Linked DNA regions of Notamacropus eugenii. The protein of the gene in region 2 interacts with the protein of the main gene of each other region in a biochemical or structural test. Links are inferred from orthologs where the notes say so. Each region holds a gene or a part of one and is shown on either strand. Other genes may lie near its edges.

The links.
Region 1: of the proteins of CASP7 (region 2) and PANX1, one has a biochemical effect on the other in vitro, tested with the Homo sapiens proteins (2 studies listed by IntAct). The link is inferred for Notamacropus eugenii from reciprocal best matches to the Homo sapiens genes CASP7 and PANX1.
Region 3: of the proteins of CASP7 (region 2) and PTGES3, one has a biochemical effect on the other in vitro, tested with the Homo sapiens proteins (2 studies listed by BioGRID and IntAct). The link is inferred for Notamacropus eugenii from reciprocal best matches to the Homo sapiens genes CASP7 and PTGES3.

The regions. Positions count from the first base shown.
Region 1 is NC_092876.1:164,528,376-164,538,967, forward strand, and holds the start of PANX1 (pannexin-1), read right to left. Parts: upstream 4,976-10,592; 5' UTR 4,157-4,975; coding exon 3,976-4,156; intron 1-3,975. UniProt on the Homo sapiens protein: Ion channel involved in a variety of physiological functions such as blood pressure regulation, apoptotic cell clearance and oogenesis.
Region 2 is NC_092872.1:192,054,265-192,065,004, reverse strand, and holds the start of CASP7 (caspase-7), read right to left. Parts: upstream 5,190-10,740; 5' UTR 4,668-5,189; intron 1-4,667. UniProt on the Homo sapiens protein: Thiol protease involved in different programmed cell death processes, such as apoptosis, pyroptosis or granzyme-mediated programmed cell death, by proteolytically cleaving target proteins.
Region 3 is NC_092874.1:231,925,030-231,935,216, reverse strand, and holds the start of PTGES3 (prostaglandin E synthase 3), read left to right. Parts: upstream 1-5,461; 5' UTR 5,462-5,902; coding exon 5,903-5,904; intron 5,905-10,187. UniProt on the Homo sapiens protein: Cytosolic prostaglandin synthase that catalyzes the oxidoreduction of prostaglandin endoperoxide H2 (PGH2) to prostaglandin E2 (PGE2).

The DNA.
Region 1 (10,592 bases), on a different chromosome or scaffold from region 2:
GGGAAAAAGTAAAACATTATTCAGAACATAAACATATAAATATTTCCTTTCTTCAAGCAGTTTATATTCTATTGAGGGAGACAATATGTACATGTTTAAGTTTATGCAAAATATATAAAAAACAAACAAAAGTGCTCTTTGACTCAACAATACTAGAATTCTCCTCAAAGAAAGGGAAAAGGACCAATATGTACAAAATTAATTAAGGTCATTTTTTTTTGTAGTGGCAAACAATTGGAAAACCAAGGGGTTGTCCATCAGCTAGGAAATGGCTGAAGAAAAGATGGTATATGAATGTCATGGAATATTATTGCACCTTAAGAAATAATGAAAGGGATTGTTTCTGAGAAACCTAGGAAGACTTGTTTAAATTGATGCAAAGAGAACAATTTATATAATTATATAATACAATAATAATAATATAATAATTTATATAATAACAATTTATATAATAACAACATCGTAAAGACAAACAACTTTGAAAGATAAGAACTCTGATTAATGCAATGACCAATCACAATTCCAAAAGATCAATTAGGAAGCACACTATCTCCTCCCTGACCCAGGAGGTGATAGACTCAAGATGCAGAATGAGCCATACATTTTTAGACATGATCAAAAGATAACAAATTTGTTACAGACCTATTTGGCAAGTTACATGATTTCCTTTAACTCTGTTCAGTAGCACATGAATAGAAATGAAGGTGTCTGATGGAGGGGTTAGCAGGGGTGGGGAACTTGCAGCCTTGAAGTTACATGTGGCCCTCTAGGTCCCTGGACAAATTCTTTTAAGGGGATCTGTTCTGTGAAATTTCAATTCAGTCAATGAGCCGCACTTGGAGACCTAGAGGGCCACATGCGGTTCCCCACCTCTAGTCTAGATAATCAACAAAACAATAAATTCCTGATCTGTATTTCAGAGATGGAAATGCGCACACTCAAAATTTAATAATTAGTTCTCTGTAAGACCAGGCTCCGTCAAACCCCAGGAGTATCTATAGAAGAAAAATCACAGATTCTCTAGAGATCTAGTGTCATATTAGTGCAACCTACTTCATGGGCTTCCTGTGGAGAAAACACTTTGCAACCCTTGAGTGCTCAATATAACCATGAATTATCATTACTGCATTTATAAAGCCAATAGAGTTGGTTACCACAAAATTCGGTATTTCACTACACAGTCTTATACAGTTCATAACTATTTCCTATCTTTTAAGCACTGTGCTTGGCACATAGCAAATCCTTAATAAATGATCTCTCTAGCTACCTGCCCCTGCTTTCAAGGAATTTGCAATTGGGAAGAAAAACCCAACTTCAACTTCCTTTGTTCCTGCTATCACTATAAGTCCCTCTGTCCCACGCTGACCATGCCAGGCATATGGTTGCTAAATGACAAACTCACTAGAAAGACAGTGTGAATAATCCAATCCATCCAACAAAGATAACACTTTTTGCTGCTTTGCACACTACAAAATCCTTAGCCAACTATCCAAAATCCATAAAAAAAAATTCTTCCAGCGCCAACCTGAAAGCTAAAATAACTATCTGCCAGTAAGGTGTTAGCCCAAGAAAATTTTTGTTCCTGATGCTTATTATGAACAGGGCCAGTCCCATATCAGGGCAAGACCAAGCAAATGTTCTAGGCCCCACCCTGACTATGGAACAAATCCCAGCTTGGTCAGGTCTCCTCTACTATGCTGATGTGTACCCTTTCTCACAGATTTCAACCCAAGTTTTACTTACTTCAGGTTCAGTATTCTATCCATTACTCCATACTGTCTCTCATTGGATGGGTAAGATTGTAGCTTCTTCAGCTATACAATACAGATATTAATACCTGCCTACCAGTCTTACTTAATTGTTGAGCCGAAGATTAATATGTGTAAAAACATCTTACATTTGAATAGTATTTTAACCACATTTCATTGCTTTTCCTTCATTTGGCAGAGCAAGCTGATGATTCATAAAAATGGGAGAATTTCTTCTCAATTCCTTCCTGTAGCAATTATTGCTTTAGTAGAATTCCTGCTGAATTGACTCTAATGAAGGCTGGAATTTCCAAATAGTCTGAGAAAGAATCATATGAAACCCAAACATTTTATACCAGGAACACATGAATTTGTATTCCAATTCAACCTCACAATGATCACTGCTGGAAGGCTCAGCTGTTTCTAGTTGATGCCACCAGAGTCAACTGTTTAGTAACATCAGATCTTCAATACCTCACTTGGGGTTTTCTTGGCAAAGATACTGGAGTGGTTTGCCATTTCCTTCTCCAGCTAATTTTACAAATGAAGAAAATGAAGCAAACAGGGTTAAATGACTTGCCCAGGATCTCACAATTAGTGTGGGAGGTCAGATTTGAATTTGAAAACATAAGCCTTTTTGATTCACAGGCCTGGCACTCTATCTACTACACCACCTCCATTCACACACTGACAAGATGAGAATGGTTTTCTTCTAATATCATATTTACAGTGGGAGCCTTAGCAACTCCTCATTTTGGACAAGTGACCCAACCTCTCTGTGTTTCAATTTCCTCCTGAAAGATGAGTATCATGGAATCAAAGATTTAGAGGTAGAATGGACATATGAGTCCACATTGAATCCAAACCCCATTTTTCAATGAGTCAGCTAGGAACACTATGTGAGACCAAAGTTCACTCAGGTAATAAGCACTAGAGTTTATATTTGAACTCAGTTCTTTTGACTCCAAAACCAATGCCCTTTGCCCTGTAGCTACCTTCCCATAATTGCCCTACCTATCTCACGTAGGATCAAATGAAATAAAAGATGCCTAGGTACAGTAAGTCCAGGTATAGTATAGTATAGTATAGTATAGTATAGTGTAGTATAGTATAGTATAACATAGTATAAAACATTTTTCATTCAGTCAGTCATTTATATCTACAGTGCCTAACAAAGTGCCGGGAATGCAGTAGGCACTTAATAAATGCCCCTTGATGGAGAATCACCACTGCCCTTTAATAGTCAATTTCATCTCCTTCTCTATTCCCCTAGTGCTCCATACAGTGCTAATGGCTGAGAGCCTATTATCAAAAAACATGGTAGAAGTGTTGACCAGCATTGTCCCATAAAAAATAATTTTCAAGAAACCTTGTCAAACCTATTTTGCGTGACTATATTTAATTCTGGAAAAACACTTTGGGACATGCTGCAACTTAAGTTAAAAATATTATAGTCATGCTAGAGCCACTATGTAGCATACAGTACGCTGCAATGGATCAGAAGACCCAAATTTGACTTCTAGCTCTACCGCGGTTCTGGGCTCCTGGAAGAAGCTTCTTAACTTCACCTTCTTCAGCTCTAAAACGGAGACGACATGTGCACTACTTCCCTCACAGGTTTTTTATGAGCAATGTACTGTGTAAGCGTGGATAGTGGCTGTGGTCGTTGTAGGGGTGGCTGTCAGGAAATGAAAAGTTTACAATCCGTGACCAGAGTCAGAAATAACCTGTACCTGACTTCCGAAATGGACTGCAATTACAGTCAGTGTCTTCACCACACTTCTTATTTACGTTATATATGCCTTTTGTTTACATATCAGTGAACACAGTATTCTCTAGCTAGAAGGGAAGCTCCTTGAGGGTAAGATTTGACTGGCTTTTCTTTTTGCTTAGCTAATGCCTCAGTATAGAGCTTTATTCATGGCAGGCACTTAATGTTTTTTTGGTTTCCTTATAAGCCCTTACGCACTAAGGCGCAATCTGGCAAAGGGAAATATTTCTACAAAAGGTGCATTAAATCTTTAAACAAACCAAAGCACTCCCAAACCGCAGCTACAGGAACTGCCAGGAGCATGCAGAGATACTGACACCAGAGCGTGGAAAGATAACTCCCAAGGCCAGGAAAGCCTTCAGACCCAATCTGCCCTGATAAGGCAAACGAGCACTTGGGGCTCCTCCCTTCCTCCCTCCAATCCCCCCTTTCCCTTCTCACCCCCCAAATATTTACCGATGGAGATCTCCTGTGCAAAGGCCAGCGAGATGAGGAGGAGGGGCAGCCCCACGGCGATGCAGGTGACCATCTTATCCACCGCCAGCTCCAGGCGCAAACCCTTGAACTTGGGCTCCGTGGGCTCCTTGAGCAGGAAGTCCGAGAACACGTACTCCGTGGCCAGGTGGGCTATGGCCATGGCGGCAGGGCTGGTCCCCTCGGGGCCGGCCGGGGCAGGCTAGCCTTGGGAAGCCGGGGCAGGACTCCGCATTCCGGAGCTCATGACGCTCCGCCGCGCCTGGGGGACTGGCTGACAGGACCCGTTTCTCACCCAGCCACAGCCTCGGAGCGCCCAGCCCGGCTTTCACTTTCCTTTTGCAAACTCCCCACTCGCATCCCAGCTTCTTTTGTTTCCCGTCTGTGGCTGAGCACGCGCTCCGGGCGGGAGGGCTCAGCAGTCCCGGGCACCGCCGTGGTGGTGCTGGCGGCGGCAGCTGCCTGGGAGCTCTGGGAAGGCTTCAGACCCGGCGATGGGCTGGCTCGAACCCGCGCGCTCCCAGGGCCAGATTCTGGGCCGGGGGCAGGCTCGCGCTCCGCCTAGCACCCGGGGCAGCTCCCGCTCCACTCGGCGCGCAGTGCCCACCTCGCGAACGCGCGCTACTTCTCCCCATGGACCTCTCCGCCCCGGCCCAAGCCCTGGACTGCGCGCGCGCCTCCGACCCCAGGAGCCCGGCTCTCCCTAGGCTACCGAGTGATTTCGCCGGCTGGCGCCCCGCTCATTGGCTCAGCCGAGAGCTCCAGAACAAAGCTAGCCGGAGCTCCTCCCCAGGCGCCTGCCCAAACTGCGCTGTGGGTGCTGCGGCGGGCGAGAGAGGAAGCTCCAGGATGAGAGGTGGCAGCGGGGCTCCCGACCCCAAGCTCTTACAGTGTTCTTTCTGTCCGTTTTACACCCAGCTTTCCTCTCCTGGGCATCATCTGGGAAGGCTACGACAACAAAGGAGGGTGTGGTTGGAATGAATGAGTGGAAGAAACTGAGTTGGGATATGGGGATGTGGGTAAAGAGTAGCGCCTTTCCTCACTTCGGATCATCAGTTGAGACATTTTGTAAACAATGTAACCCCTAGGAAACAGTTGCTTGTGCTTCTCGCTGCAGCCCACCGCAAGTGACTTGTTGAAATTCTGTACCTCCAAGTAAACAGTGCAGAAAGGCCTCACCCTTTGTTGATCGCACAATAGAAATGTTCTGGAAAGAGGTGTCATAGGATTTAGGTTTGGAGGGAACCTTGGATACCAAGAAGCCTGGTTGATTCTACTTTCACGTTTCTCCATTCACATAACCACCATCTTATCACCTCTTACCTGGACTATTGCAAAACCCTTCATATTGGTCTCTTTGCCTCGTCTCTCCCCTTTCCAATCTGTTCCCCAGACAGACTGATTAATCTTGCCTAATACCTGCATTTAACATGAGAGAAATTATTATTAATAACTAATGATTTGGAGAGATCCAGAGTTCCCCCCTTTTCTAAAGTCCTCATTTAGAAAGTTAGTCTCTGATGGACATTTGTGATAATGAAATTGAAATAACTTTCTCCTCAATCTTGTTCAGACCCCACCCAACCTAACAAGAAATTTAATACAAGGTAAGGAAACCTATTGTACTCTCTACAGGTGTGGGTGGGGATAAATTATTCGACAAATTATTTGCCGAAGGAATTGAGAAATAAATGAAATAATCAAAATTATATCTCCCATTCTCTTATTAGAATAGGCCCAGCTCTCTTTGTAATATTCATTCTTTCTCATACTAGTTGTTAACCAATCAGAATTGATAGCCACCCTCAGGAACACCCACTTGGCCAAGGGCACATAAGCTATGAGCCCACCACCCTGATTCATCTTTGGTCCAAGAGAAATAGCCAAAGGATCATTCCTTTTTATAATAAAATGCTAGTATTATTAATAAAATGATTAATTACGCAGAAACTATGTCTCTCAAACTTTTTTAAATGTCACAAACAGATGACGATATTGAGACCCAACACATTGTCCAAGATTTCATCTCTGGTAAGTGATAGTCATGGTATGTAGGGCTTCTGATTCAAAATCCGGTGGTTTACTACAGTCTAAATGAATATTCAACTTTCATATTCTTCACCCAGGCCCAATACCTTTAGGTGGTATCCTGCTCTTTGTGACTCCATTTGGGGTTTTCTTGGCAAAGACACTAGAGTAGTTTGCCATTTCCTTCTCCAGATCACTTTACAAAAGAGGAACTGAGGCACACAGGGGTTAAGTGATATGTCCAGGGTCATGTAGCTAGTGCCTGAGACAAGATTTGAACTCATGAAGAGGAGTCTTTCTGACTCCAGAGCTGGAGCTCTATCCACATCATCATCTAACTGTTCTTAATATTTTTACACACTGGAAAACAGTAAAATAAACATTAAGGTCAGCTATGGTGGGGAAAAGAAGGCAGGAAAGGACAGCCTAAACACGGCGAAGGGGATGTAAAAGGGAATAGGTTTCATCTCCTTAATGAGAAGAGGAAGAAAATGATTACATAGGATGACTATAGGTACATAATTTGTCTTTTTGTTTTTTTGACAAAAAACTAGGGAGCCAAGCCATCTTCTGCCCTAGTTTGCTCATCTTCCCAGCAACCCTTTGCAGAACTCTTCCCCTAAACCAATTATCCTAAATAATAAATAATGGAATTAAAATCAGTGCATGACAGCTTTCATAGTAGCAATGATAAATATTTATCTTGCAAACTGCTAGTAAGTGGAGACCTACAGAGCCATTGTAGAAAACATTCCTTCAAGAATGAGAGGTTGGACTAAATGAGGTGGTGTGGCACAGTGGAAATCATCTTGGCTCTGAGGCTAGAGGAACTTTGGGTTCAAATCCTGCCTCTGATGCTTAATACGGGTGAGTGTGACATTGTAAAGTCATGTAATGTTCCTGGGACTGCCTCAGTTTCCTCAATTATAAAATGAAGGATTAAAAGTGCATGGTCTCTGAGGTCCCTTCTGTCTCTAAATCTACGATCTGTCCATAGAGCTATCTATGAGTCTAAGGAACATACAGTTGTAGTGGGTACCAAGATAATTGTCCCTTTCTTATTTGAGTCACAAGGTGAAATGGTGTTTCCTCAGTGTATACATGTGTAGTGCAAGAATGGTTTCTGGTAGAAACTGGAGAAAGTTAAGAGGAAGAAGAGCTTGGTTAAGAGAGTAGTAACAACCAATGATGTGTTAAAGGATTGTGAACAGATTATCTTGCGCTGAAGAAATGGCACTAGAATGTTGGAGAATTTTATAATTTTCCCTCAACCTGCCCTGAGAAGTCAGGAGACTAGATAGCCTTGCTATGGAACCACGAGGAACAGCAGGAAAAAAGGAGAGAGAAATATAAATCTGGCCCACTCCCATCACCTTCGCCCTTCCAGTAGCAAGACACAGCTCATGGGACAACAACCTTGGTTCCTTACCAAAGAGCTCTCATCATGGGGATTGGGAGTAACTCAGGAGATTTACTCATGTCTTAGGGATTAAAAGTTGTGAATTAAAGGATTTCTATTTCAATTCTTCCTTTTTAATCATTAATCAAGAAGAATTTATGAAGAACTTACTAGCATTTAGAGTCTACTAGAATTAGATACAAATGCAAAGAAAATGATCCTTACACCAAAGGAGCTTACATTCTCAAAGAGTTAGACACAAGGACATATATAAGTATATGCAGAACAAAGAGAATAATTACAAATACACTATTGTTAATTATAACATAGTTTGGGAGGAAGGGAACAAGGAGTTGGGGTGGGGTGGAATCAGGGAAGGCTTTATGTAGAGGGTGGTACTTGATTTATATCTTGAAGAAAGAGAGAAATTTTATGAGATGAATGTGAAGAGGAAGTACATTTCAGGTCTGGGGGGATGGCCAGTAAAAAGGCAATGAATGAATGAAATAGAAAGCATTTATTAAGCGCTTACTGTGTGCCAAGCACTGGACTAAGTACTGGAGATACAAGTAGAAAAACTAAGGCAGTCTTCAGTCCTCCTTCTCACATTAACCTGTTCTAATTGGGGGAGACTATATAAAAAAAAAAGTCTGACTCAGGACATACAGAAAAGCCTAAATGTCCTAAGGGGGCAGCAACTGCAGTATGGCAAGGCCTTAGGAGTAGGTAGGATGATCTGCAGGCTGTAGAGATAGAATAGAAATTAAAGCCTGGAGGACCTTAGGATACAGGACAGATAGTAAGGCTTAGTGATCTTCCATCTCATGAGGAAGAATAGTGTTGGTGATGTCTATCTCATTCAGATTATTGTGGCAGTGAAACAGCCTGGATGGGTTCTGAGTGGAGAAGAAGGTGAAAGGGAGAATGATCTATCCTCAGTATACTGAGTGGTACCATGCACACATCACCTTATACATTTCCTGGATTGTGAGGATAGTGATAAAATCCACCCAAAGTACACATAGTTTCCCTCTATAATAAAAGAGCTTCTGACACAAGAATTGTACCCAAGATGATAGCTTTTAAAGATTTTAAATCACAGAGAAAGTAATAACCTGTAATGACCTGTGTTCCTAGAAGTAGTTTCCTCCTCTAGAAGATCCCTATACCAAAAAAATGTAGAAAATTTAAAAATTCAAATAAAAAAAATCACAGGCACATCTGCTATCCCCTATTACCTACCTCACCAGCTTATTTTAAGCAAATGTTTTGCAAACCTTAAAGAGGAAAATTCTTGAGCAATTCTATCGATAAAGCCACTCACAACTCAGAATGTAGAAAGTTTTCCATATTTCAGCCAGCCAATAAGTATTTATTAAGCACAACTGTGCTAGGCACGGATGATAGATACAAAGAAAGACAAAAGACCATCTCTGCTCTCCAGGAGCTCCTGGGCTAAAAGGGGGGACAACGAGGAAACAACTATGTGCAAAAAAAGGTATAAGTAGGAAAAACTGGGGGTCATCTCAGAGGGAAGGCACAGAATTAAGGAGATTGAGAAAGACTTCCTGCAGAAAATGGAATTTTAGCTGGGACTCATAGCTAGGAAAGGAAGGAGGCATGAAGGAAGGTGTCATTGCTAAAATGTTCGATCATTTAGGTTGAAATCTCCCTCCCTCCAAATGTCACCCATTGCTCCTAGTTCTGCCCTTTGTCTATTATGACATTTTTAAAGTAGTAAGTCATTGTCGGGGAATTTGTCATAGCCTCTTTATATTCACTCATGACTCTTTCCAGTGGCCTATGGATTATTTGCAATTTTGATTCTTTCAAGATTGTGGTATTTCACATGGCATTTCTTCAAATATTTGAAGATAACTATCCTTTCCTTTCCTCCTTTAAACCTTGTGATTTTCAAAATAAACATTCCCCAATTTCTTGAATTTTCTGATAAGGCGGCATTTCCAGAATTTCAATATGCTGAATGCTCTCCTATTCGCACAATCACCCTTCTTAAAGTTTAACATCCAGAAATGGACATTGATGAAGCCTGAGGATTGCAGAAGACAATAGGACAACTCGCCCCCTAGTCTGCATACTGTTTTTCTATGGAGGTAGTTTAAAATTGCAAGGCTACCTCATGTTGTGTTATCAATACCTTAAGCCCCTAAGTTTTTCTATCCTTGTTCTCAAATCAACTCTCCCTCCTCTTTATTATTGGTTGGTGGTTGGTGGGATGATTATCATCCTTTGTTCTAGAAAAGTATCAAAATGGCATCATTATGTTAAGGGTCAAGATATTATATGTTTGACTGTGGCTGATCTGAGCAATACAAGCTCAAAATGCTTTACCGCAGGTTCTGTACAAATAGTCTATATGAACATTTGGAGAGGAGATGTCTCTAAATTTGTGCATCTCATGTTTCCTTTGAGATACCATAATTCTTCTTTGCTTGTAGAGCACAGCACCTTCTTTGATGTGGACACTCTATACTGGGCAGTCCTGTGCTAGTGTCTTCCATGTCTCACAATTGATTCCAGAGTTCTTCAGAGACACCTTGAGTGTCCTTTTATTTCTTCTTCTGACTTCCATGTAATCACTTGCCTTATGTGAGTTCTCCATAAAATAATCTTTTAGGCAATCATATGCTTGGCATTTGAACAGTGTGACCAGAACACTGGAGTTGTGCTCTCTGCAACAGAGTCCGAATGTTTGACAGTTTGGCTTCCTTATCTTACCAGGTGATCTTCAGAATCTTTCTAAAACAGCTCAAATGGACACAATTCAGTTTCCTGGCATGACACTGGTATACTGTCCAGGTTTTACAGGCATACAACATTGAGGTCAGCACAATAGCTCTTCAGCTTAGTAAGCAGAACAATATCTTTTCACTCCCACACTTTCTTTTGGAGCTCCCCAAACAGTGAGCTAATTCTGGCAATGTGTATATCAGCCTCATCATCTGTGTGCATCATTAGAAAGTATGCTGCCAAGTTAAGTGACCTTATCTATAGCATTCAAAATTTCTCCATTTGTTGTAACCAATGGTTCCACATATAGATGGTGAAATGCTGGTTGGTGGAGAACCTCTGTCTTCTTGGTGTTAATTGTTAGGCCAAAACTAACACAAGCACAAAGAATCAATCCATCTCAGTTTCAGAGGGTGCATTG
Region 2 (10,740 bases):
AAAATAATTGTGATTACACAATATTACAAAGTGTTGCGGAAACAGTGCCAGGCCCCAGGCAATGGCTTTTCTTGCCTATTCCTAGCTTCAAACCTCTACAAAGGAAATGAAACAGATACTTTAAAATAAATGGACCTTGCACCTTACAAGTTATCAACTAGATAGTGTATGTCTATTTCCTCTGTACGCTATCCCCATGAACACTTAAGTCCAGGGATATCACAAAGATTCTGGGCTTCCGAGGACCTTCTGGATCATCACTCCCTTACCGACTCCAGAGAAATGAAATGATTTGCCCAAGGTCACAGAGATTAAGTGTCAGTGGTGGGATCTGAACTCAGATCTTCTGACTCCAGATCCAGTGCCTTCCCATACTATCAAACAGTCCCCAAAGTACCGTTTAATGGTGCTGACTAAAAACTGTATTAAGATGTTTCAGTGATCTGAATGACATTTTATGTATAAAGGTACCAGAGGGTGAAAAAAATGACTTCTGGGGCCTGGTGTGAGCTATTGTTTTTAAATGGGGTCACAGGATGATAAATCACCAGTTGGGTAGGGCCTCAGAGGCCATTTGGTCCAACTTTTTAATGTTTCTAGATAAGAAAGCTGATGGTCAAAGAAATTAAAAGCCTTATCCAATATCACATGATTCTCTCTTTAGAAACCATATTTGAACTCAGGTCCTTTGGTTCCCTAGCTAGTTAGTACTCACAAAGTAATAAAATACTGTACTTGACTCAAAGGGCTTCCATGTTAGCTGATTAAAAATTCAATAGTTTTGTAGAAAGTAGAAGAAAAATAATTCTGGTGACCATTTCTATTTTTATTATTCAGTCATTTTCAGTCATGTCTGACTCTTTGTGACCCCATTTGGGGTTTTCTTGGCAAAGATACTAGAGTGGTTTGCCATTTCCTTCTCCAGCTCATTTTACAGATGGGGAAACTGAGGCAAACAGGTAAAGTGACTTGACCAAGATCACATAGCTAGTAAATGTCTGAGGCTAGATTTGAACTCAGGAAGATGAGTCTTCCTGACTCCAAGCCACTATGGCACCATCTAGCTACTTTTTCTGTCTCTACCCAATGAGATCTATTGTAGCTGGCTTTACCAGTATGTATGCTTCATGAAAACAAGGATCTCCTGTTATTATATACCTCAGAGGTTTGTTGGAAGTAAGGAAAATATGTTTTCATCAGTGAAAATACGTAAATAAAGGCTATTGTTATTATTTCAAAAAATAACAGAATTACAGCTGGAACCTTAGAGGTCACCCAGAGAAACCCCTTCATTTTATAGAGGAGGAATCTGAGGCCCAGAGAAGTGATGAGGCTTTCCCAAGGTTGGACAGGTAGACTTGAGTCTCTCTGCATACTGTATTACCCGGCATACCTCCTCCATGGTGCTCTGAATGTTTTGTGTTTAATAAATGTCTGCTGAACTGGATTCAAATTCATCTAGGAAACCATCATCTGGTTGATGCTTAGGCACATGGGGTTAAAAAAAAAAATCAATTTTCCTATCCTTAATGAGAGCAAGGGAATTTCTGAACAGGCTCCATGTCCAAGAATGCAGGTTCAAGAAGTCCCGTGGTTTTAAAGAATAAACTTAAGGGTAAATACACAAACAAAATATATCTGGGTTTGCCACAGGAAGGAAAAGGAAGTCAAAGCTTGGTAAGACTCCTTTTCTACAACAACTGAACAGATGGCCTCCACTATCCAGAAAGGAGGGGAGCAGACTGCTCCTCCTGACTCAACCGACACCAGGCTCCTCCATTCCTAATGCCGAGTTTGGCTTCCTTGGGAGGTGCTCATGATGAATTCATGCTCAATAAAAGGAGGGGTCCAGGTCACGTGCACCTGACTAAGGGGTCTTTACAAGCTTCCATGGAACTCTTGGTGTCTGACTCACCAAGACAAGCCCCACATTCTGGAAGGAGCTTCCTTGTGGCAGGAGGGCTCTTAAATTTGCAATGCCAAGAAATTCCCGGATCCTCGGGCGGAATAGTCTACTGGAAGTTAGTGAAAGAAAAAGTCAGAAGAGATTACAGCTGCCTCTTTATTAGGGGAGTGGCTGAGCCTGAGTTCCCTCAGCTACAAAAAGGTAGCAGTTTTTGCCCTATCTACCTCACTGGGTGATTTCAGGGCTCAAATAAGTTAATGTAACACAAAAATACTTTGTATATATGAATTAGCAATTAATTTTAGGGAATAACTGGTGTTTAATCAATAAGTTAAAAGGGGATTTTGGAGACAAGACCTGGGATTAAGTCATGGCTCTATGAATTACTGGCTGGGTGACTCTGGGCATGTGCCTTCACTTCCAAGTCTCAGTTTCCCCTTCTGTAGAATAAAGATACTTGCCCTAATTACTTCACACAGTTGTCATGAGGAAAGTACTAGAATGATGATTTTGCTATATAAAGATAAGTTATTACTGTTTAGATTAGACAAGCTACAATACTTCTAAGCTTTATGATTTCATCTGTGTGGGACTCCACCTATACATATTTCAGTCTCATCTTATTTCCAACTCCACCTGGCTTCGCACCTTGCAACAGCCAAAAAGATATCCTGGGAAAGGAGAACCTTCTTACATAAGCTTTCCTGAATATGGTGCCTATGAACAGAAACAAAGCTATCACTAGAACCCATGCCTAAAGCCTGCCTACCGTGAAAGAATATACCATACCACTCCAGTATCTTTGCCAAGAAAACCCCCATGGACAGTATTAAAATGCTAAAAGATACAATAGCAGGATGGAGTCACAAAGAGTCGGATACCACTGAACAACAAATATATGTGCATATACACCTACATATATACTGTATTTACTTATACATGCAGAGGAAACATGGTACAGTGGAGTAGGCCTCACAAATAGGAAGACCTACATTTTAAGTCCTGCTCTTGATCCACACAGGCTGTGTGACCACAGGGAAAGGATTTAACTTCTCATGCCCTGAGCTAATTTCTAAGACTGTAAATTTCAGAGAAGATGCCAGCCTGCATTGGTAGAGACTCCTTAGAGGGGAATTCTCTGTACAGTAATATCACTGGTCTAGTACCCTACATTCCAGTTGTCCAACCCCCTTGTCCATACCAGTCAGGTAAGTTTCTTGAAGGGTAGCGGTAGGGGGCTATTTTTTTTTTTTTGGTAGTCTCTGTATCCACAGCACATACCTCTGTGCTTGGCCTAATACAAAGCAGATGCTTAACAAATGTTCCTTTGTTGATTGTTTAAGGTCAAAGTACTATAGATTTAGTTATAAGGGATCTCAGAGGTCATGGAGTCCAACCTCCTCATTTTACAGATGGAGAACTGAGGCCCAAGGAGTGGGCCCAGTGACTTGGCCAAAGTCACACTTGAATTACATGATAGACTGTTGTAAGTTGTTTTTCAGTCGCATCTGATTCTTTGTGACCCCATTTGGGATTTTCTTGGGACAGATACTGCAGTGACTTGCCATTTCCTTCTCCAGCTCATTTTACAGATGAGGAAACTGAGGCAAATAGGGTCAAGTGACTTGCCCAGGGTCATACTGCTAGTAAGTGTCTCAGGCCAAATTTGAACTCAAGTCTTCTAAACTCCAGGCTCAGCACTCTATCTAGCTGCCCCTCCCTGGGTAGAGCCAGGATTCCCACCCAGGTCCTTCAACTCCAAATCCAAAATTCTTTCCATGTCTAAAATTCAGCTCTAATAATCCTATGGTCCTCTGAGTCTCAGTTTTCTTATCTGTCATACAGTGAAACTAAATCATTTGTAAAGGCTGAGTGTAAGGAGCTCTATTACATATTGTTTGGGTGAATTTAGGAGAGTCAATTCCATGATGGGCCTGAATTTCTTCATTTGTAAAAAATAAGCAGGCTGGTCTCCCCAGATGCCCAAGCTACTTCCCAGTTCTGAATCTTTATCCTATGATCTCTCATGTTCTTTCTGTTTCAAGTTTCTAAGATCTCTTCCTGTCCTGACTAGGTAAGTCGACTATCAGTTAGAATTCTGCTCTGACACTATCTGCATGGCCAATCACTGTAATCTTTGTTACAGTTCATGTTCCTCTTCTGTAAAGTGGGGATAATAATGGCACCTACCACCCAGGACTGTGGTGAGGCTCAAATGAAAGGTTTGTAAAACATTCTGCAAACCTTCAAAGAGCTCTGTGAATATCTACTATCTATTATTATATGTAAAAGGATAAGAATATCACCCATCTCCCAGGGTTATAGTGAGGCTCTAATTAACATATGTAAAGCGCTTTGCAAGCCTTAAAATACGGCCATAAAGGCTAGCTATGATTATATATACTATGAAACTTAGCAAAAGTGTATCAAGATGTATCTCCGTGAAAGAAAGCCTTCCCTGGTAGGGATACAGTGTCAATTTCATCCCAGCCCATACCCTCCAGGAGGTTACAAAAATGCCACCGTCACCAACAGGGACTAACTCCATCAGACAGCCAAAGGCCAGGCAGTCCCAGGAAAGCCGCGGAAGGCTATCGTGGAGAAAAGGGGGGGTGCTACGTTAGAAGCGGGGCTGGGGACAGAGGCCCGGTGGCCCCAGGATTGGGAGGTCAGCGAGGCAGGGCAGGCTGCCAGGCGGGAAGCCCATACAGTAGAGAAAAGAGACAGTGTGGGGGGAGGGAGGGAGGGCTGCTGGGGTTACCGTGAGCACCGGGGATCCTGGAGCGGGTGGAGGGAGACGCTGCAAACACACGGCTCTGCGGCGCCAGCCGGGCCGGGCTACACGCTGCGGGCTGGGCTACACACTGCGGGCTACGCTGCGGGCCGGGCTACACGCTGCGGGCCGGGCTACACACTCACTGGGGGCTGGGTTACACTGCGCTCAGGGCGCCGAGACGAGAAAGAGCAGAGGGGCGGAGCCTAGGCCGGCCTGGAGGCGGACCCGGCTCCCCCGGGGCCCAAAGGGACCTTGGAAGGGCGGAGCGAGCACTGCCCCGGAGACCGCCCACATCCCGTGGGCGGGGAGGGACCGGCCCGGCCCGCTACCGAGATGTTCCGGGTTCTGGGCCCCGGCCGCCTGGAGATGTCTTTGCGTTGGACTTAGCCAGGTTTTCTTCCCTGCCTCGTTCAATTCCTGGAAGAGGCGAGGCTCCCCGGCTCGCTCCTGGATTTCCCACGTTAGGAGTCCAAAGTCTGGTGCTCCTTGACTTTGAAAGACTGTTAAGAACTGGATCCCCAGTCCTCCTGGCTGCGGCTTTTAGTTCCTAATCCAGCTTCTATTTCCCGCCCCCCATCCCCCAAGCCAGCAACTCCATCCAGTACCTGTTTATTTTTTAAAATTATTTGATTTGTTTTCAGTTTTCTCCAATCATCTCTTAGTTTTATCTTAGTTTATATCTTAGTTTTTCCCTCTCCCTTCCCCTCCTTCCCCCTCCCTCTCTACTTCCTCGCAAAGACAAGAGGGCGTGCAGTCTTATATAGGTTCTAGACATAGATTTTTATTAAATGCATTTTTACCTTAGTCATGTTGCACAGAAGAACGAAAATGAATGGGAGACACCATAAAAAACACAACACAAGAGAAAATGGTCCACTTCGTTTTGGGATCCAATTCCATAGTTCTTTCTCTGAATGTGGAAGGCATTTTGCTTCAAGGGTCCCTTGGGAATTTTTTAGGTCCTTGCTTTGCTGTGAAGGACTAAGTCTATCAGAAAAATTCCTCACACACTGTGGTTGTTGCTGCGTACAAAGTTCTCCTGGTTCTGCTCCTTTCATTCAGCATCAGTTCACATAAGTCCTTCCAGGCCTCTCTGAAGTCTTCCTACTCCTCATTTCTTATAGCACAATAGTATTCCATTATATTCATATACCACAACTTGTTCAGCCATTCTCCAGTTGATGGGCATCTCCTTGATTTCCAGTTTTCCAGTACCTGTTTAAAAATGAAGGAGACCCCTACTTAGCCCTCCAGGGGCGTGGAACCTTAGAAAAACTTAGAATAAGTTTTAGAATATGAGAAAGTGCAAAAAATCGAGGACTTTAAATTCAGGAAAAGAAAGCTCTAATTAACTGGAGGGATCCTGGAAAGATTGGAGGAAGACCTCTCTAAAGACAGTTTGTCAACAAGCATCTCTTAAGAGCTCACTATATACCTGGTACTGTATTAAGTGCAGGGAGCTGGAGGAAGACAAAACTCTGTCCCAAGAAACTTAGATTCTAATGGGGAAGAAACAGTGGGGAAAAAAAAGATAGGGGACATAAACAGATCAAAGGGATTTGTATCTTGGAGAAAATCAAGCTTAATCTCCTCATTTTAAAGACAAACTGGCCCAGACAGGATGGGACTCATTCAGAGTGGTGCTGGCAGTACCCCTTCTCTCTTGATGAATTCTGTGCTTTTTGTACCTGAATTGACAGCAGAGATGAGAGTGAGGAAGGCCATTGCCTTCATGAAAGACCATGTGATCACTAGCATAGAGGGTGGAAAGGCAGGTGAGATAGAGTGGTGAAAGATGCAATTTGGCTTAACTGGAGTATAAGAAGTTGAGATACAAAGTTGCAAAAGTAACTTGGAGGAAGATTGTGGAAGACCTTAAAAACCAGGCTAAAAAGGCATTGCTCGTCCTTTCTTTGTCCTCTCTGCCTGGTCAAAATAGTCGGTCTAATACAAGCATTTACTTTGAGATGTAATTGATGGATAACAGAACTCCTAGGAGTATTTACATTTTTATTGGGGGGAGGGGTGCTCCTCATCCAGAGACCCCTTATTCCCCATAATATGACAGCTCTTCTCCTTGTCCCATAAGGTTCGTATACACTCCCTTTTCTATCAGCAACTGGTGCTCAGACCTTTCTACCCTAATCTGACAGCATTCTAGGCAATGGGCTATTTTTCAACCATTGCCATATTCCACATGTCTTCCCACCTTTACTCCTACAAAAGGGCCTGGAGAAAAAAGTCAAGAAGATTGGGGGTCACCTCTGCCAATTCTTGGGGTTGGATACATGAAATCTCATATTTGCTTGTTAAATATTCATTCAACATCCATTTATTTTGCATCTGTTGTGTATAATGCACATATGTAGCACAAGGCCACAGACTCCATCTTGATTTAATTAAGAGTTGATGGATTCTGATATGCAGTGTCCCAAAGTCTTAGGTCAGTTTTACATGGTGTTGTGGAAAGAGTGCTAAACTTAAGAGTCTGGATCTGCACTCTAAATCTGTCTCTACTACTTACTAAAACTATGTGACTGTGGGTAAGTTATTGGCTCTCTCTGGGTCTCCGTGTCCTGAGCTGTACATTTTGGGGCTGGGATGGTTGAAAATTATGGCTCCTCAGGTTCTAGATTGTCCTAAAGGCCTACTCCTTCAGGAGCATGCTAAGAGACAGCTCAAATTGACTCCCACTGATTGTCAAATCCAAACGCACTTTTCAATCCTCATTCTCTTTGGCATCTTTGCAGCCCTTGACACTTTTGATGACTCCTCCTTGATAGTCTTTTCTTTCTAGGTGTTTGGGACTCTCTCCTGGTTTTCCTTCCATCTATTTGATCATTCCTTCTCTGTCTCTTTTGCTGGATCCTCCTCCAGAGCATGCCCTCTAACTGTAGTTATCCCTCTGCATTCCATCCTGAGTTCTTTTCTCCCTCTAAACTAGTTATCATCTCCCATAGATTTAATTACCATCTCTTTGCTGCTGATTTGAAGGTCTGCCTATCCTGCCCAAAATTCTCTGCTGACTTCCTGTCTTGAATCTCCAACTGCTTTCCTGACATCTCCAATTCGATGTCCAGTTGGCATCTTAAATTCAACGTGTCCAAAACAGAATTTATTATCTTTCCTTTTAAACCCTCCCTTCCTTCCTTATTACTGTAGAGGGTAACATCATCCTCCCAATTCTGCAGGCTCACAATTATCCTGAACTTCTCACTATCTCTCACCCCTACATCTAATCTGTTGCTAGGGCCTACTGATTTCACCTTTGTAACATCTCCTGAACACGTTTTTAAAAAATCAGGTTGAATAATATAAAGGTACAACAGAATGAAGCTATACCATGATCCCAACTTCCTGAATCTACTTCCCCAAGCTAATAGTTGTCAGTTAAAAAATTTCACCAGTCTCTTTCCATTCTCATTCCAACCACCACTTTTATCCATGTACACATTACTCCTCTCACAGACTTCCCTTCCAAACAGCTCTCAGTGACACAACAAAACATATTGGCTGGAAGCTGGGGTGACCTTGGACTTGGACTTGTCACTTCAACTTTATAGTCTCCTCATCTGTAAAATGAGAGAGTTGAACTGAAAGGTCTCTACCATCTCTGAGCTTTCCAGATCTAAAATTCCATGATGTATGATCTAGAAAGAATTAGAGTGAAAAGACCTCTGAATTGAAAAAAACCTATCAAGAAATCTCTAACTATTAAACATTTGCTCAGGACTCTCTGTGCAACTCCATCCTTCCCAACAGATCCTTGAAAAAGCTAACAGATTGAGGGATAGGGTCCTTCCAATAAGAAGGCTAAGAGCCCATCAGATACAACTCCAGCCATCCACGGACAGTCATTTTGTATGCGACTGGTCTCTGCTTTACTATGTACACTCCTACCTGGAACACTGTATCAACACCCTCTTCTGATACTAATAGAAGGATGAGAAGAATCCCTACTGAACTTCTTAAGTTCTAGAAGTTAAAGGTCACTTTTAGTAGTTGGTGTGGTGGGAAATATATTGAGTATTAGTAGAGTAAGTCATGTTCATAGTTGACTGAATGGCAGGATCCAAAGAGTGTTTATCAATGGTTCCATACCAGTCAGCAAAAATTGTTCTCATTGCCATGCTACTTGTCTCTAATGCTTGTTTCTGTTTTATTTGATATTTTTTGTTAAAGATTTGGATGAAGATCTAGAAGGTATGCTTGTCAAATGCATAGTCAATGAAAACCTGAGATGGACTGATAAATGACAGAATTAAGATTAAAATTGATTTTGATAGGCTTAAAAGAGAGACCCAAATTAATGAAGATAAAGTTTATAAGTTCAAAGTTTAGATTCAAAACATCAATACAAATGCAAGATGGAGAAAATCTGGCAATGATATAGGTATTTTGGTTGAATGGAAGTTTAGTATGAACTAACAGTGTGATGTGGTTACTAAAAAAAAGCCCAAAATATCCTAATTAAATCTTAGAATTCATTAATTAACATTATTTTTTTAAAGGTAATATTTCCACTCTTTTCTGTTTTGGTTAGACTGCATCTATAGTGTTGTTTTTAGTTCAGGGTACTCCAGTTTAAAGGGGGCATTGACAAAGAGCGTATATAAACAAAGGTGACTAAAATAAAAAAGAATCTATAAATCTTAGTATATAAAAATGTTTGAATAAATTGAGAAGCTTACCTTGAAAAGAGAAGTCTTGGTGGTGATGGTGGTGCAGGGGAACCAAGTATGTGAAATGTAAATTGTGGCTACACATTGATTAGAGAGATGCAAATCAAAACAACTCTGAGGTACCACATCACACCTATCAGACTGGCTAACATGACCAAACAGGAAGCTGATAAATGTTGAATAAGATGTGGGAGAGTTGGAACACTTATTCATTGTTGGTGGAGCTGTGAACTGATCCAACCATTCTGGAGAGTAATTTGGAATTATGCCCAATGGGCTACAAAAATGTGCATATCCTGTGACCCAGCAATATCTCTTCTAGGACTGTATCCCAAAGAGATCATAAAAATGGGAAAGGGTACCACATGTACAAAAAAATTTATAGCAGCTCTCTTTGTGGTGACCAAGAACTGGAAATTGAGGGGATACCCTTCAACTGAGGAATGGCTGAACAAGTTGTGGTATACGAATATAATGGAATACTATTGTGCTATAAGAAATGATGAACAGGAAGACTTCAGAGAGGCTTGGAAGGACTTATATGAACTGATGCTGACCAAAGGAGCAGAACAAGGAGAACTTTGTGCACAGCAACAACTACAGTGTGTGGGGAATTTTTATGGTAGACTTAGCCCTTCACAGCAATGCAAGGACCTAAAAAATTTCCAGTGGACTCTTGAGGCAAAATGCCTTCCACATTCAGAGAAAGAGCTATGGAATTGGATTGCAGAATGAAGCAGACCACTTTTTCTTGTGTTATGTTTTGTTTTGTTTTATGGTTTCTCCCATTCATTTTAATTCTTCTATGCAACATGATAAAGGTGAAAATGTATTTAATAAGAATGCAAACCTACATAAGATTGCATGCCATCTCATCTTTGGGAGAAAGTGGAGAGGGAGAGGAGGAGGGGAAGGAAGGGGGGAAAATCTAAGATATATGGAAGTGATTGTAGAAAACTGAAAACAAATTAATTAATTAAAAAAATTGTGGCTAAACAAACTAATAAGTAATCATTTGTAGGAACAAAGAAACTAGAATCTTAAAGGAAATCATAAAAATAAAAAGTAGGAATAAAGGGGAAATAGCATTTACATACCTCAAACTATAATATTAAACAATAATTATCAAGCCTATTTTATTTTGAAAAATACATCAATGGAATGAACTAGATAAGGAAGAATTAGAAGTAATTGAACTCAGTGAGCCAGTGTTCAATCAAATGAAAAATATAAATTACTTGGTACTAAATTACTTCCTATTTGATAGGACTTATTGGAAAACTGAAAGCATTTCAGCACAAGTTAGGTTTAGATCAACGTCTTAGGTGATATAAGCTCAAAATGGATTCATGCTTAAATATGAAAACTCACACCAT
Region 3 (10,187 bases), on a different chromosome or scaffold from region 2:
TTAATTCTGAAAGGACTTCCTTTAATGTGTCGTTTCCCCCAGTAAGAGTACGATCTCCTTGAGAGTAGAGAATGTCTATTTCTATTTGTATCCCCAGCATAGTGATTGGCACATATTAAATAAATACTTAATAAATGTTTTTTCATTCAATCACTGTGATTACAAATGCTTTTCAAAGATATTTGATGCAAATATTTTTCTAATTTACTTTCTTTTCCTAATTGCATTTATTTTGTTCTTGCAAAAGCTTTATATTTTCATATAATTGAAATTATCTATCTTTTGTAATAGTTTCTATCCTTGTTCTCGCAATTTTCTTTTTTTATGTGAACTTGACAATATCAACAAACCTAAACATTACTGTATAAAAAGAACAGAATCATTTATGAAACTGTAAATCTCTATCATTTGGATTTTTTAATTTAAATTTTCATTTTAAAAGTATTTATTAAATTTAATGTTTTAATACCAACATTGTCCTGTCTATATCCCCTTCTAAACTTATCTCTTCTATAGATTAAGAAAAGCTTATTATCATCAATAGACATGAATCTTTCCCCATATAAAGGTCAGAAAATGAAAATTGTATGTGAAACTATGAATCTACTGAATTTTTAAAATCATGTATTAAATTTAATATGCTAATGCCTTTATTGCTCTGCTTGTATGTGTCCTCTTCTGAATTTCCTTTTACTCTCCTTTGTGTATTTTTTAAATGTTTCATTGATTTCCTTTTCTTTTGCATTTTTAATATTCTCCCCCATCTTCAACTCCACCCCTCCCCCAAGTGAAAACCTTCCCTTACAGCAAATAAATACAGTGAAGCAAGATAAATCCACACATTGGCTGTATCTGGAAAATGGATGTCTTATTCTGCACCTACAGGCCATCACCTCTGTCAAGAGATAAGTCAAATGCTTTATCATTAATCTTCTGGACTCTTGATTAATCACTGCATTGATAAGAATTCTCAAGTCTTTCAAAGTTGTTTTGCATTGAAATGGTGAAACATAACTGTATAAATTGTTTTTCTGGCTCTTCTCATTTTGTTCTGAATCCATTCATACAAGTTATTTTTATAAGGCTTTATTTTCTGAATCCATTCCTTTCATCATTTCTTACAACACAATAATATCCCATTACATTCATATACCATAATTTATTGAGCCATTTCCTAATTGGTATATCCCTTGTTTGGTTAGGAATTTCTTCCATTAGTCATAAGTTATGGAAAGGCCCTTTACATGTAAGTTTCAATGTTTTACATGATCTTTATCTGTAAAATGATGGGGTGGGAGTAGATGATCTCCAGAGCTAATCCTAACTCAAAATCCTCTTGGGCTAATTCCTTTCCAGGCCATTACTTGAATCCCACTAACTTGAATCAATTGAACAATTTACTGTTCCATAAATATATCCTGCCCTCCATGCATCTGCTCATGCTATTTTGACCACTAGGAATTCCTTCCTATCATGTATATTTGTTGAAACTGTACCATAGATATTTGAGAATATGTCCCATACATTCAACTAGACCAGGGGTGACGAACCTGTAGCCCCACGGCCACATGTGGTCCTCTAGGTCCTTGAGTACAGCCCTTTGACTGAGTCCAAGTTTCACAGATTCCCCACCCCTGAACTAGACTATTAGCTCCATGAGAGGAGAGACTCTGTCTTAGATAAATTTTATATCTCATCCAGTAGCTGGCACAATGCTTTATACTAAGTAGTCACTAAATATTTATATCCTGTACATATATCCCATTAAACTGTGTAATAGGTATTGGATCACTGGGATACAGAAATAACAGGGCCCATGATCAAAAGATTTTCTAGTCTTACATCCTCATCTTACAGGTGACAAGAAGTCGGCTTAGAGGGGGTAAAATGACTTGTCCAATATCACACAACTATTAAATAGCAAAACCTCTTGTACTAGTCATCTCTCCTTCTACACTGTAAACTTCTTTTAGGCAGGGAAATTGTTTATTATCTTTGTATCTCACCCAAACTAGATTTTACAGATTAAGAGCCGTACAGGTGACATTTGATTTGAGCTCAACAAGCAGGAAATGCAACAAGGAATAATTTTTAACATTAAAAAGAAAGTCAATATACCTATTTTAAATGTCAGGAAATTTTGCTCTTCAAGACAAATAGTTATTCAATTTGTGATAAGAAAAATGCTACAATAAAGGTTCAATGCATCCAGTGGGTTAATAATCCATGGGGGAAGTGGAGGAAATGACACAATTTTTTCTCCCATGAATTTAATCATCAACAAACAATTTAATATACAAACAACAAAGAGGATTGTTAAATTGTGAATTTATTTATATAGTTGCTGGTCCTGGACAAGTCATTTAACCCCTCAGTGTTGTAAGCAACACTGTTAAGACTATTAAGTTGCTGAGGTAGGTGTCTCCCTGCATTGGCAGGAGTTTCCTCATCTGGGAGTTCCCTCTTTCAATGAAATAACTGATCTAATTTCTGTCCCTATTTTATATAATAAGTATAAGGCCATCAACAAAATTGCTTTGTTTGTATTTCCTGTACCTCCTTCTGTACTATGTTTTTGTCTGTGTGTAAAATATGTGTGGGTAAGCTGTATAATATAATGATATGCTGGCCCATTTGACATAGAGGGTTCTCTGATATGGAATCTGGTCCACTCTATCACTGAGGGAGGCTGAAATTTCTTCCTTTTAAAGAGTAGGAGAAAGGCTTTGCCTTTACCACCAGTCTAGCAAAAAAGGGGTTGTAGGATATTTATGGCAGGATGATCTCTTTGCCAATCTCATATTTCCAGATATAGGTCTAGAATTAGATGCATCAAATATGAGTAGTCTAGGCATTTGAGTTGAAGGTGTTTGGCATACAAGATATTTTCCCTGATTGATCTCAAGGGAAAGGGACACCTTGACTAACACCAATTTAGATTCCTCCTCAAATACTAATTATATAAATTATATAAAAGGCCATCAAGACTAGCAAGTACTTCATCAAAATCATCCAGTAAATAGAAACCTGAGAAGTTATACAAATTAGGATCGGTCTTGAGAGCAAGATAAAAACTTCAGCCCAAGAATCTACTCTTAGCAATCTCTAGGATTGCAAGCATTGGAAGTCAGGGATATGATGGGGGTCAGCTTCCCCTAGTTTGTAGCTCTGAATAAATCACCAGTCCACCATTTAAAAGTCAGCCATCCCTGAGTCTTTGCCTCTCTGGAGGGCAGCTAGGTGGTACAGTGGATAGAGCACCAGTGCAGTAGTCAGGAGGAGCTGAGTTCAAATGTCACCTCAGACACTTGACACTCACTAGCTGTGTGACCTTGGGCAAGTCACTTAACCCCAATTTGTCTCATCCTGGGTCATCTCCAGTCATCCTGATGAATATCTGGTCACTGGATTCAGATGGCTCTGGAGGAGAAGTGAGGTTGGTGACCTGCACAGCCCTCCCTCCCTCAAAACAAAATCAAGTGCAAGTCATCATTTCTCTGATGCCATGGTCTTCTTTGACAAGGAAGGACGAATACACACCTCTCTCCTGAAATGCTCCAACAAGCTGAAGCTAATATGTTACATTCAGTGTCTCCAGCTCAGAGGTCTCTCAGACAATTAGGGGTTACACCTTATTACACATAGGCTGTGCAACACCAAGAGGGCTGCCCTCAGGAAAATCACCCCAGGCTTGGGTGAAAATGGGGTTAAATACACATTTCAAAAAAAAAAAACAAAACACTAAAAAGAAGTTACCTGTGCTAGATAGTGGATAGAGTGCCAAGTCTGGAGTCAGGAAGATTCATTTTCCCGAGTTCAAATCTGGCCTCAGATACTTACTAACTGTGAGACCTCGGGCAAGTCATTTAACCCTGTTTACTTCAGTTTCCTCATCTGTGCAACAAGCTGGAGAAGAACATGGCAAACCACTCCAGTATCTCTGGCCAAGAAACCCCCAAAAGGGGTCACGAAGAGTTGGCTGTGACAATAAAAATGCTTTTTTTTACGAATCCACACTGGCCATATCTGAGATGTTATAATTCCTTCTGCATCTCCTGTTCCTTACCTCTCTGCCCAGGTACGACTGGAAGGTATGTTTCATCATCAGTTTTTTGAAGGCATCACTGGTCACTGCTTTTATTAGAATTTTGTCTTTCAAATGACTGTCATCTTAAACTGTTCTCCTGGCTTTCCTCATTTCCCTCTGCATCCATCAATACGTCTTCAGGGGCTCCCTGAATTGATCATATTCCTAATTTCTCAAGGAGAAGTCATATTCAAGGACATGAACGCACGTAACATGGTCACACATTTATTTACCTGCTTTGTTCCCAGTTATTTGCTAGGTATTCTTGAGCACCTGGGTTCTTTCTTTTTTGGGTTTGATTTCCACAGGGTCTAAGAATCTAACGGTATTTCTGGGTCACAGGCATACACAGCTTGGTAATTTAAGGGAAAAAGTTATCCATTTTTTCCAGAAACACTGAGAAAATTCAAAACTCTGCTAGAGGCGAAGGAATGTACCTATTCTCCCATGGCCTTTCCAACAACTGCTATTTTCCTCTTTCCTCTTCTTTGCCATCTGACGGGCGTGAGATGACGTCCCTTCAATGATTTTAATTAGTGATTTGGAACTTTTTTCCCAAATGATCACCAGCGTCATCCCTGGAGAACCGCCTCTTCACGGGAATGCCATTTCAGCCACCATCCTCCAAGCCCTGAGCTGGCTTTGGGCAGATTCTGAACAAGTATTCCCCCAGGAGTGAAAGCAATGGCCGGACATTATCAAAGTCAGCGGCCATGTGGTCTCCGAGGAATCCCGGGGTCCATTTGCTCTCAATTCAATTCGGGAGCCATCTACAAAGGGGCGGGATGGTGCCTGCCCTTAAGGGGCTTACATTCTACCGCACTCCACAGTATTCCGCGGGGTCTCGCCCCTCCCCCCAGACAAGGCCTTTCACCTCCCCTCCCCCCTCCCCCCTCCCCCCAGACAAGGCCTTTCACCTCCCCCTCCCCCTCTCCCCCCAGCCAGGGGCCTGTCCTCCCTTCAGAGCGAGGATAGCGTCGGCCCAGGCCGGGGGAAGGGGTACGACTCAAACATGTCTCCTGCGGCCGAGTTTTTTCTCAGCCTCGGGCTGGGCCGTGGTGGGGGAGGGGAACCTGGGGCGGGGGTGGGCAGAAATGCCACCATCTCCGCCCGCAGGCTGAGGGCCGGCCGCCTCTCGGCTAGCCTTGGCCAGACGACTAGTTTCTCGGGAGGTTTCCCCGGGAGACCACGCGAAAGCGCGAGCCCAGGCGGTTGGGTCACCAACGGTTTTCCAACGAGAGGCTGCAGGGGGGGGCGGGAGGAGAGGCGGGAAGGGACAGCGACTGAGGGGGGGCAGAGCGGGCGGGGTCAAAGAGAGTGACGGGGAGACTCCGCCCTTCTCATAGAGATCTCTAGAAAGCCGGGCTCGCGCCCGAAAGCACAGGAACGCGCACGCGCGAAGGGGCCCGGGCATTTTGCTGCGTCACTAGCCGCCGCCGCCGCCGCCGCCGCCACTGCCTCCTCCTCTGTCGCTGCCTCCGCCGCCGCCGCCACCTTGCCTCGCTTGGCCTTACCGCCCCTCGTACGCACACGTTCATTCTCTCTCCTCGCGCCCTCTTCTTACTCTTTCCTCCTCCTCCTCTCCCCGAACCTCTCTGGTCTGCCGCGCGGTGCATTGTGGGATCCAGGCCAAGCCCGCCGCCGTCGCCTCCGCCGCCGCTGCCGGAGGGGAAAGAGCGAGGCAGAAGAGAGGCCGCGACCGGAGGAGGAGGAGGCACCCGAGCCGGAGCCGCCCGCCCGCGGGGAGTCGGAGCCGTCCTTGCCGCCTGAGAGACCCAACCCACCCGTTCGCCCGCCCCCCCTACCCTGTACACAATGTGAGTGTGATAGCCCGCTGAGGGGAGGCCAGCCTGAAAAGAGGACGGGAGGCGGAGGCCGCGGCTCGTGGACGGAGCGGGAAACCGACCCTCCCCACAGCCCTGCGGGGCCCAAGCGGCGTGGGGGGGGTGCTACCCCCGCGGGGGGGAAGGAATCTCCCGTGACATCCCCCTTCAGGGTCCTCGCGGGAAGCCGTGGGGCCCCATTCCCAAAATGATCCGTTCCCTTCCCCCATCCTGCGGGCCCTCGCTCCGGGAAGTTCCCCCGGGCTCACCCCCGAGGCCTCCATCTCCAGTGACCCCGTTCCTGCCTGAACGTGCCTCGGAGGGGAGGCCTTTCCTCCGCCGGCTCCCCCGGGATGCCCCGTCGTGGCAGCAGGCCATGTGCATTGGGGGCAGGAGGCCCCCGGAGAGGGGGGTGACCACGAGTTGGGGGCCCCATGTGGCCTGCGGACCGGAGCAGGTAGTGCTGGCCACGTGCAGGCCTCCCCACGGCGGGCCCGTGGCATCTTGACCTAGTCCGGTTACCTGTGTCACCCTGACATGGTGTTGCCCCCCAGGGGGGCTTGGGTACTTACTTTTGGCCCCCCCATGCTTCAGCGTGACTGAGATCCCGAAGGGAGAGTAGGGGCAGTCTGCACCAGACAGTTTCCTGACAGGGAGGAGAGTTAACTGCCTAACAGGTATTTTACACGTGTTTGACCCAAAGGACTATTGTGGAGTTTTACAGAGATAATATACTACCTTAAAATTGTAGGCAAGGTAGGTGTTCCTTCCTTAAATCTCCGTGAGATGTGTAGATCTTAAGTCTTCAGGGGGTAATTTCTCAAAGGTGTGTAGGGGATGGGTCACAGATGCCCATGCTGGAAGTAGAAGTTTGAGTAGAACAAAGGGAAAAGGCTTCACCTCTGGAATCTTCTACATGCAAAGTCTAGCATTTTTCTCTGCTTCTCCACTTTGTGGATTGTTCACTTTGTGATATAATTAAGTTTAATACTAACTTAGACTAAAATTTAGTAATTGAGTAGTAGTTGTGGATTTCAGATTTAAATTTCTTTAAAAATTAAACTAATTCCTCAAAGGCATCCAACACTTATTAAAATGACATGCATTTTAATTTTAATAATTTTAATGACATGCAGGGTGTAGCAGAAAAATGGTCCGGGAGACTAACATAAATAAGACATAGCATCCAGTTGATTGAAAACATTGTGAAGGGAGCTTGAATTATCACAAAAGGGGTGCTTTCAGAGTGTGGAATTGTTTATGGCTAGAAAATTTAACTGCATGTATGAAACTTTTCCCGCTTTTGTAACCTCACATTTTAAAGTACCCGTCTTAATTCAATTGTATCTTTAATTCGTAGAATAATAGGAATTTTGATTATGCAACAGTTACAGTTAAAAACACAGGTTTTTAGGAAATAACAATAAATTCTTGTCATTGCTGTTCAAAATCTCTAGTTCATCTAGCATAGAGTTGTATCCATTTTGAGAGCCAAGGGTTTAACGTGAGTTGAGGAAATTTGCAGATAAAGTTTTAGTAACCAGATAGTCTAGAAACAAATACTCAGTTAATTACCGTTTGACTTAGCTGCATGTTCAAAAAGTTTTTGAAACTAGTTTTTAGTCACCTATGCAGTGGAGGAGAGAAGAAAGAACCTGTAAATAGATGAAACTTGGATAAAAATCAAGATAGTAATCAATATTCCAGGAGGCATACCTTGAAATGAGTGTATTTTACAAAACTAATGGCTTCAAGTTTTCTAGTTTTTGAAGAAAAAAATTTATGTTTTTGATTTTGTGACTTCTTCAGGGATGTGAATTTATAAAATGAATATTATGATTCAGTTGAATTGGAAGAGACATTTTATGGATCATCTACTCTTAGGAGGAATAACATTGATAAGGCTTCATTTGCCTTATAATGAAAAACAAAAAGAAGGAAAAGGGCAATGGGGGGGGGAGGTCCTACTCAAAATAAGTGGTAGTGGTTGCCCAGCCATTTGGCTTTAAATATTTTAATCAAAATAAGTCTTATTTGTCTATTTCTGTAAGGTGCTCAGAGGTCACAATACAGTATCATTTAGGGAAAGCAGTTAATAGCATCATCTTTCACCCATGGAAATGAGGACCCAGAGAAATTTTGTGCTTGCCCCAGATCATTATGTTCTTGATGGGGACTAACCAGATTCCCACCCTAGCAGGAAAGGTAGGTTGGTGTGGTAGAAAGAACCCTGAATTCAGGAGACCTTGTTTCAAGTCCCAATTCTACCACTTCCTTTTTTTTTTTTTAATCTGAATTGGAGCCAGCCTAGATCTCTATTAGCTTTCTTCCAGCTCTTTGCAGTTTGAACAGTCCAGGGGTAAGAACACTTAATTTGGAATCAGAAGATAGGTATCCTTATCTGTATTCATGCATCTCAGTCATACCCATGTGATCTTAGGCAAATTGGTTAATGTCTCTGGATCTCAGTTTTTCCTCTTGAAAAATGAAAGGGCTGTACTAGATGGCCGTTAAGGTACTCTCCAGCTCTAAATCTATAATTCTATTGCTTTTTTTCCTTACTCTTGTGGAAATCTGCTAGTCTTTGGTGATTTATAACTTTAAAAAAATGGAACTGATAGCTCCCTTTAATCCTATTATCAGTTTCTTGAGGTAGGGTTCTGGGCATGACTTTTCACTTCTGCTTCTTATATTTAGTTTCATTTATTTCCAAATTATTGGAATCAAATTATCAAACATTGAGCAAAATCTTATTTACCTTAGCAAAAAATTACTAAGTTTGTAAACTTGGGGTCCAGTAACAAAACTCCTCGTATATTCCCTTGTGTCCAAAAAAAAAAAAATAGATCTAGTGTCTATAATATTTGGCTGGGCAAAGATTTCTATTTGAAAGGAGTACTTGATAAAGTTAGGGAAGTTATTAATGTTTTTCTTTCAGGGTTGATTTCCTAGCCACTGTAGCATGGCAACTGATTTTCATACTGTAAACTTAAGTTGTACTTTGATCAAAATGCTTTGGAACTGGTGGATGAATATGGATAACAACATACTTAATTATTTTTCTCATTGGTAGTATTTTCTTCAGATTTCCCAGATTATGGTCTCAATGTGATTGAATCCCATCTAATATAGTTTCCTGAAGAGTTAGTGATTATCATTTGGAAGTCTTTTCAAATTTCAGTGTTTATGTATATTGGTATATGGAAAAAGCTGGCATTTGACCTCTTACTTGCAGTCTCCTTGTATGTAGAATGAGAAGAAAAGATGATCTTTTCAGATTCCTTACACCTCTAAATATGTAATTCTGTGACTTCAGTTTTTAAACTTTTCTATGAAGAGTTTCTAATCATTTCTGATCCTACAGTTGGTGTGCAAAGGAAATGCTGATTTTAATATTGGTTCAAGAAAAATGTTTTTTGGAAACAATATCTACTTAACTCCCTCAAGTTAGTGCTTGAATAACTAAAGGTATTTGCGTTGTTTTATATTATCCATACTGCTGTTCATTCCTTTAATGCAGGTGTAGTCCATCTAGTGATTAACTTTCAAGGATAAATCAGTGTTTTTCTAAGGTTCTAGGAATCAATTATTCATATAGAAAATTTATAAAATGTGTTAGACTTTGAAGCTTTTGATAGTAGTCATACTGTATAGTTGTTGCATGGTATTTGAACCATAAGTGAATTATTTCTTGACGCTTGTATAATCCTAGAGTGGAAGGGGATCTTAGCATCTCTTGAGTCCTCCAAAATATACTGATACCCAGGGATAATTTAAAATGCTGTGATTGAAATAAGCTAACAGTGGAATCATATATTTGATCTGGAAACGTGACCATAGAGAACAACTAAGTAACTAGTCCACAATTTCTTCATTTTTCTTTCATTCCACAAGCATTTATTAAGCACCTTCTATGTGTCAGGCACCATGTTGTGCTATGTTCTGAGAATACAAAGACAAAAAAGTAGTTCCACCCCTCAAGGAATTTGTATTCTGTTGAGAAGAAACATGCACGCATACATTTGGGGGAAGGCATTATTAGCAACTGAGTGCCTGTGAATGACTTAAGATCATATAGAACCCTCTTAGTCCCTTATTTTCCAAGGAGTTAACTGACCATTGTTTTCTTGGTTCACATCCTATTTTTGTTTCTTATTCTATAGTTTCTTTTAAAAACTTACTTCTTGAACTTTATTCTATAGCTTGGGTCTGTGCTTCATCTGTAAGATGGTGATTAGAGTACCCCATTTCTCAATTTAGGTAAATTTGCAATACAC